Linked DNA regions of Coturnix japonica. The protein of the gene in region 2 interacts with the protein of the main gene of each other region in a biochemical or structural test. Links are inferred from orthologs where the notes say so. Each region holds a gene or a part of one and is shown on either strand. Other genes may lie near its edges. The genes, in order: TOLLIP and TOM1.

The links.
Region 1: the proteins of TOM1 (region 2) and TOLLIP form a complex in vitro, tested with the Homo sapiens proteins (3 studies listed by BioGRID and IntAct, with this or other methods). The link is inferred for Coturnix japonica from reciprocal best matches to the Homo sapiens genes TOM1 and TOLLIP.

The regions. Positions count from the first base shown.
Region 1 is NC_029520.1:9,918,876-9,923,327, forward strand, and holds the start of TOLLIP (toll-interacting protein), read right to left. Parts: upstream 3,072-4,452; 5' UTR 2,925-3,071; coding exon 2,892-2,924; intron 2,456-2,891; exon of another isoform or gene 2,435-2,455; intron 1-2,434. UniProt on the Homo sapiens protein: Component of the signaling pathway of IL-1 and Toll-like receptors. Inhibits cell activation by microbial products. Recruits IRAK1 to the IL-1 receptor complex. Inhibits IRAK1 phosphorylation and kinase activity.
Region 2 is NC_029516.1:47,624,824-47,628,633, reverse strand, and holds part of TOM1 (target of Myb protein 1), read left to right. Parts: coding exon 1-24; intron 25-510; coding exon 511-644; intron 645-1,303; coding exon 1,304-1,337; intron 1,338-1,889; coding exon 1,890-1,998; intron 1,999-2,989; coding exon 2,990-3,110; intron 3,111-3,810.

The DNA.
Region 1 (4,452 bases), on a different chromosome or scaffold from region 2:
TCCTGATACCCCGTCTAGCCTCAGCAATTTCGATTCTATACAACTAATATTACTGCATGAATCTCCAACTTCTGTAGAACTGTAGCCCAAGGCTCTACTTAAGCTTCTCAATTTAGAGACAGGCAAAGGAAAGATCTACATTTAATAAGCTTTAAAAATTAATAAGCCTTAATGAATAATAAAGCAAAATAAAAAGGGTAGCAAACTGCAAGCTATCAGACAGTTCTTAACTCATTCTCATGATTCTTTTTGCTAGAAATTTACCACCTGCTTTGCTTTCATCCATCTCCAAGCACTTCATGAGTCCAGCTGTTACTTTGACAGCATTTCCCCTTCCCATGTATACAAACTACATTTAGCCCCAACAGAATATTTTGCCACAAGCTGTTGCCTCTGAGTTTTCCCAGCACACTGATACTTAAAGATCTACAAAGCACATGCCATAGTGAAAAAGCACAGCCATTAATGAATTAAAAAAACCACTGGTTTTAGGGAAGGAAAAGCAATGATAAACCTACACTATTTTAGTAAGGAGGGAAATATTTTGTAATTTCTGGGCTAATTACAGCAGAAATAATCATATTCAAAACTGAGTTACATAATGAAGATAGAATGAATGAACGTCTTAAATTCAAGTCATGTTTACAGCAGCTCTGAGCTACATTTCAAAACAGACACTTAAACAGAGATGACAATACTTACGCAGTTAAATGACAGTATTAAAACAGGAAAAGAACCGAGCACTCGTTCCAGCTGCACAACAGAAGAGTTCAAACCAAAGCAGAAATGAACAGGGAAGCCAAGGGAGCAAAAACCTCAGCAGCTCTAGTTTGGCACTCAGTTTAACTTCGGAGGACCTGACTTAGTCATCAGCACTGCAGATAATCACAGACACCCATTCTGGGCGTGTTTGGACAGCTTAAGGATCAACACACAGCACTGGGGTCTCAAACTCAAGACTCAATCTGAAGCCCGACCAGACTGTTAGTGATATCTATCACTTGAAAAGAGTTACCTTTTAGCAGCCCCTCTATCTTCAGCTGCAGCGTGGATTTCAAAAGCTGTATTGATCTTCAAACAACACAAAACACAAAAACACACTAATTCCCTATTACCCTGAAGTCAGCCCAGGAAATCTACATTTTAGGATATTTACCCTTAGCAAACAGGATTCCAGCTCTGCTTCTTCTGCAAAACTCGAGAGCAATCAAAACTTTATTTACTTACCAAATAAGCAGCCTCAAACTAGAAAGCATGGTCCTAAGATCAAGACTGTCAGCAGCACACACTGCTTGCTTAGCTGCATGAAACCATCCTGAGTATTGTCTTACCTCTTCAGTAACAGTAGAAATGTTCTGTAGCACTGAAGGGAAAACATTTCCCAGTCCTTTAGCACCGTTTAGTGGCTATTCATTTGCAATGCAACTATAAGTAGAGAAACAAACAGAATTCTATCTTCTGCCCTTCAGAGAATTAAGGAAGCCGGTACGTACTGTATTGGCCTTCTCACCTATGAACGACAGCTTCTTAATGCTGCATAATAGTTCACTTGAAATTATCCCAGTTTCTAAAATGTTAAGACAAAGAAGGAAAGCACACACAGTGCTGGGAGTATATAAGAAAGAAAAAACTGAGGCCAACTCCAAGGAAGTCCTCCCTAAAATCTTATCTCAACCCAACAGGAGGTTTTAGCTTGATTAAGACAAGTCAAGGTTAAAAGTAATACATGAAATGTCAACAAGGTATTCAGCACAACAAGTAAAACTTCCCACAAAAAGAAATGCCGCTCCATTTCGTGGAGGTATCACAACCAGCACAATGTTGTCTCAGCAAATCAGTGCTGCAGCCAGGCTTGTGTCCAGCTTTATCCAAACCATCACAGCTGGCCACCATCTCCTTCAGCCCCTTCCTCTCACACTGATTCCCTACAAGTTCCCCAACCTTCTCCAAACATCAACTGAAGCCTGACTAGGTGTTATTTTAAAACAGTGTTGTCAGATACATATTTATTAGTAATACCTGTTACAAACTGAAAGAACAGCATTTGGGTGCAATCACACCATCGACTTTAAAACACCAGGCCCCCGTGGACAGCAATTGCCTAATTCATAGGTCACAGCACAGCAGCTGTCCAACCATAATACAAAGAATTAACTTAATGCACTGTTTTGACCTTAATTCTCCACCAAAAACTTACTCCAAGAAAACTCTCAAGCATTGCTCAATACTTCCAGCCAGGAGCAGCACATGGCACGTGAACTAGGCAACGCTGCAACACGAAAGCTGTGCAGTGCACTGTACAGCACCTATGCAAGGTAGAGGGTTGTTTCAGAGCAAAACTCGGCAGCAATAGCTTCCCATTTCACCCTCAGCACAGTCTCATAGGACTGTTCAACTGGACCGCTCGGTTTCCAGCCCTGCGGCTGCATCCTACCTCAGCACATTGAAGAGTGAGCACATCCCATGCTGCAGCTTCCAGGGACAGCTGTCTGAGGCTGCCCGGTCCGAGCAGGAATACAGGAAGCTCTAAACTACATTCAGGAGAAATACATCAAGCTCTGGTTTAGTTTACGCTGTTTTCTTCTTCAGAAGGCCCCTCTGGCACACGAGCGGGCACCAGAGCCTGTCGGAGGCGTGTGGGCAGAGAGAAGGACGGCTGCCCTGCCCTGTTAGGCGGGGACCGGGGAGCACAGGCAGCCTCACCCCTCGCCACCACATCGAACCGAGGACGGACACGTTCACTTTCCTCTCTCCCACGGGCCACCGGCCGGCAAGCGGGAGTTGGGCCTGGCAGAAAGCGGGATGGAAGAGCCCACACCACACCAGGCCGCGCAAGGATTAAGAGGCGAGTATACCCAAGGGCGAAGCCGTGTCCTGCCAGCAGCACTCACCGGGCCCCGCTGTGTGCTGACGGTGGTCGCCATGGCGCCTCCCTCGGGCCGAGCCTCCTCCTGCCGCCCCGCCAGGCCGCCCCGTTACCCGCAGCACCAGCCGTCACAGCGTGAGGCAGCGAGTCAGCTGACCCCGGGCCGGAAGCCCCTTGGCGATGGGGTGCGCGGTGCTTCCTGTCTGCGCATGCGCCAGCCGTTAGCAAGGGGGGGGGAATGAGTTAGCGTGTCCTGCGCATGCGCTGTTGAGCTCTGCGGGCTCCGCAGCGCGGCGCAGCGCAGGGCGCCGCTAGGGGGCGCTGCGGGGCTGGCAACGAGGCTGCGGGGCCGCCATGTTGAGGGCGGTGATGGCGTGCCCTTGGGCTGCGTTAAGAGAGAACACGGGAAGGAGGCACAGGCCGTGCTGCCCTTCTGCCAGCGTTGAAACCTCTCTCAGTGTGAGCTCCCACACGACGCCTCTGCCACCTCCTGCTGTGTATGAGAGAGCACAGTCTGACCGCAGGGTGCAGTGTGTGTGTGTAGAAAATGGCTTTTGTGTCATCCCCGCTGTGGCACTGACCAGTTGTCCACAGCACAAAATGGCTGCCCCAGATGAGGTGCCCTCCTTGAGCAGCACAGTGAGCTGCTTATCCTTCCAGAAGAACAAAGCAGCTTTAATATTCATCCGAGTGCTGCTTTGGGAGATCAAATCTGATCGTTTCAAAGCCTATTTAAATAACATAACTGTTTCCTGTTGTTAGGATCCGCTGCAAGAATTTTAGCCCTTAATTAAAATTCTAGTGTGAATTTCGGCAGCTGGAAATAGAACAGTGCAATTAGGAGCGCTCCAAATATAGCACTGACTTCTTTTTCACACTGCCATCTCATCTATATGGAGTGGGAACGGCCTCATCTTTCTGCTCGTCTTGATACTCAGAAAAATGAGTACTACAGGATATAATTGATTGGGAGCCATTGAACAAATATAGTTGATGCCAGATGCAAGCTAACCAGAAGAGAAAGGCTCTCATATTCCCTTATCACTGTCACCACTTCCTCTACTGGAAGCAGAAATCGAGTCAGCCCACAGAATTGTTAAAGAAGCAAGTCATCTTTCCCTTGCTTCTGCAGGTAGAAAAGAGGCTAAATCTGGAAATAAATGCATCTTACAATATTAGGTACATGGCCTGCGTGTACAAAGCTTGTATACTGATGGAGTAGCTGATAAAGAACGTGGTGTCGATATTACTCCTATTTTAACCTATGTGCTTACCTTAAGGTTAGTTATTAGCTGAAGGTGGCCTGTAAACTCAACAGAAATACCGGCTTTGCCATCTAGTGGACGTCCACGAGAACAGCGTGTCGCCTACAGCCACCAGGCAGGTGGTTTTGCTTCCCCAAGAGCATCATCACCACAAATAGGGAGCAAGAGCATTAAGTGAAGCATCTGATAGCAGTGTAGTAATTAAAATGGAATGTAAGCTGTGGGAAAGGTGAGAGAACAAAAGTCATAAAACCCTGTTATTTGTAACATACGAACATCATGTATATATTAAAAAAAGGTTGAAAGGTAATTAGAGAAGCT
Region 2 (3,810 bases):
ACTTCTGACTTGGAACTGCTGCAAGTAAGGAATACAAGGCAGCTACTGGTGGGATAGAGGGCTGGCACATGGAGCTCAATTTAGCAATGAGTTGATGAACTGAGATGTACATGCCAGGCATGGCGAACAATTGCACTGGAACAGTTCAGTGTGGGACTTATCAGGGACAGATGGGATAAGGGAGACATGGGGGTTGAGGAGTTTCAGTGACTAAGGGAATTTGCCCTGTTGAGGTTGGAATCATCTCACACGAGGACCTGAAATTCCTGAGGGCCTTTATTCCTGAATAATATGTTAAGCAAGTGGTATGCAATTATTGCAGGGACAGAGAAAACTAGTAACTATAAATCCCAAACTTGGTTCATTTCTCGTACCAACTTCTGTTCCTCCTCTACACTTGCTGATAGACTCCAGTAGGCTCTGGAGTCTGTCTGTTGCATTCAGACTTTCAAATCTGCAAGTGCTCAGCCTTAGCCTGACCTTTGTGGTAACTTTTCTTGCTATGAACAGGAGCTGAATCGGACATGCAGAGCCATGCAGCAGCGTGTACTAGAGCTCATTCCCCGTGTCCAGCATGAGCAGCTTACTGAGGAGCTACTCCTCATCAATGACAACCTCAACAATGTGTTTCTGCGCCATGAAAGGTACCTCTATCCTCCCTGCTCTACTCTTCCGCAAGAGTTGACTGCCCTTTGATAGTCTATCCCACCTTTTGATCTGCCCATGAATGTAATGATCAAGGTGTGTCAACCTGAATAACCCTTTGTAGAAAGAAGAGCTAGTCTTCAGATCTTGCTGACTTATCCATGCACCTTCAATACGCTATTGCTGATAGAATATAAACATAACCCAGAAGAAGAAAGGGACTGCATGAAAAGAGCTGGCTTTCTAGCTCTGAGGCAGACAGACACAGGAAGGACTTGCCTAGGTAAAATCTCTACCTGCTTTTGTCCTCCATTTCACCAAACTCATCTTTTCTACTAGGGTAAAGAGAATTTAGTCTCTTCTGTCTGTCTAGGAGAGCTAGGTTTGAACCATTTTCATTAGAAGTAGCTCTGAAGTTTCACAAGAAGCTTCCTTACGTCACATCTTTGGAGACGTCTTTGGAGACATCAACTCTGAGGGCCCCTTTTTTGTGTCTTCTGTTTAGGGGAGAAATTGGGCCCTGAACAGGGTCCCCCTTTCCTAGTATGCAGGAAAGGGCAGGCTATGCCAAACCTTACTGAGAAATCTCTTGGGCTGAGCGTGAATTAGTATGTGCTACTGAAATGCATCCTGTTTCATCCTGTCATCTTCCTTGCAGGTTTGAGCGTGTTCGGACAGGACAGCCTGTTAAGGTAATTCAAAGCTACTGCCTTTTGTATGGATCAGTTTGCATCCCGCACAACCTGTGATGTCCTGCTGAGTTGAAAAGAGATTCAGACTTGCCTCACTTGCAAGCTATAGGTTTTTCTTTCCCAGCCCAGACACACCAGACCTCACCAGTGTGTAGGACATTGCATTTTGCATCACTAGACTTTCCTTTTGTAGTAGTAGTCTCCTTCCCCTCACCCAAAGAATATGGACAGACTAGCAGTAGATGTGGTTTCTTGGTTTTGAGCATTAAAAGGAACATTTCTCAAATAACCCTCCTTGTATCATCACTGGCCTGTTGTCTGAGCCAGCACTTAATCTACTGACATCCCAGCAGAGCTGGGACTTGGGTACCAAGACGTATTCTGTCCTATTCCCAGCCACTTCTCCCAAGTACAGGCTCCCCAGCTGATATCTTTTGGTGGGTACAGTTAGGGCTTCCCTTGTCAGTGCTAATAAGCTATGACTGGGGAGTCCAAGTGTTCGAGCCTCACAAACTCTTCACTATCTATCTTCCTTTTTTTTTTCCTCCGAAGGCACCAAGTGAGGCAGAGAATAACTTGATTGATCTGAGACCCAGCACTCCCTCTGCAGTGAGACAACCTGAAGTCACCAACAACCTCTCCTCTCAGCTGGCTGGAATGAGTATGTTGCCTCGCAGTATTCTCCTCAGTCTTTCTCCTGTGCTGCTATAAGAAACCTGTAATGTACTTCAGTCACCACCCAAAATATTTTAGCCATATTCATAAAGTAGCCTAGACAGAGAATATTGTCAACTAATAAGCTAATGAAGAAATCTATGCATGCCAAGAGACTCAAGCACGTCTCAACATTAACGCCTCGGATTGTGCAGGAGGTGAACCTTCTTGTGGAAGGATCTCAGTGCTAGGATGTGGCTAAGAGCTGAGCTTTCCAGCAGGGGGGTGAAGGGGAGAAAGTTGCTCTCCCTCCTGTCCCTAGCAGCAGTGCAGTTGTTTCTCTTACCATGTGGTGTGAGGCTGACACCAAGGTCTTGGAGAAGAAAAGCCACTGAGCTTTACTGCAAAGGCAACCGTGAGTATTTTGGGCTCAGGACCCAGATGCTGACAGGCTGTCAGAAAACCTGAGGGATCCTGAGGGGTATCCAGGACATACCAACAGTCTACAAAGTCATTCCTGAAATTCTCACTGACTGTGAGCATGCTCAGTACAACTTGGATGCAATTGAATAGAACTAACGATACTATATTTACAAACAAGTTAGTGGAAATGTTTTTCAAGTCAGAGTTTTTCAGGTGATGCTTAATTCCTGAAAATCTACTCCAATGGGTAACACAGGTTATCCTCTTCCACAAGTTATGGAGCAATTCCCTGTGTTAAATGATCAGGAACATGTGCCCTTCAGAATAAGTGCAGCAAATTGCTGCTGCTGCTGCCAGAGACTGAGCTAAAAATATTTGCTGAGTAGGAGAAGAAACTGATTCTGTCACATCATCAATAACACTGATACACTGCTGCTTCTGAGGGGCAGAATCGATTAGTGGGCCTGGAGCATTTTAACCTGTTTGAATGTTAGCTTTCCACTTAGCACCTCTAAGCCCATAGCTCTCCATTCATGTCTTCATGCTGCTTGCTTACTATCTTTTCTCTCCTATAGCCCTGGGCTCAAGGAGCGTGAGTGCAGGGCTGCACTCCCTCGACACCTCTGGCAAGCTGGAGGAAGAGTTTGACATGTTTGCAGTGACCCGTGGCAGCTCACTGGCTGAGCAACGCAGAGAGTGAGTGTAGTAGCCCCTCTGTCCTTGCCTTCTTCTGAGTGGGGAGGTTGCAGGGGAGTTGGGGTCATGATCCCAGCCAGCAACAGTTGGTGGGAGGCAGTAGGGTGCAACAGAAAGGCACTCTTCCCACACACAGTGTTTGTAGGATGTCCTTCCCAGTTATTCTCCCTTGCTGCCATTCAGTGTTCTCCTGGTCAAGTGGAAAAGAAAGTGGTCTCTGTGTACACATTGGTCACCAATGGACAGTGCTGTGCTGTATGTGCTGTTGAGGCTCAGTGTCAGAGGTGAAGGTGCAGAATGGGACTGGCTCAGTTTTCTTGTCTATCTCTGAAATCATGAGTTGCTCTGTGCATTGACTGGGCTGATATTGAACTTAGTTATCACTGAATATCAGTGATAGCTGAAGTGCAGGAAGTGCACAATCCATTGTGGTTTGCAAGGCAGGGAATTGATATAGGTCTCAGTTTCCCTCTTGGTAAGTGGGACTGGTTTTTCTTCCTCTGTAGTGTGGTTAAGACCTCCAGATGTAAAGCAGTAAGAGTTAGATCTAGTAGTACTGCCTACACACTGTCTACAATGAAGAAGTCTCTTCTCTTCTGCAAAGAGTGAATTTTCTGAGTCCTCTAACTGGAAAGAGACAGCAAGAACTGTACTGACTGGATCCTTTTGACTTAACAGATTTGACAATCATACTCTGTTT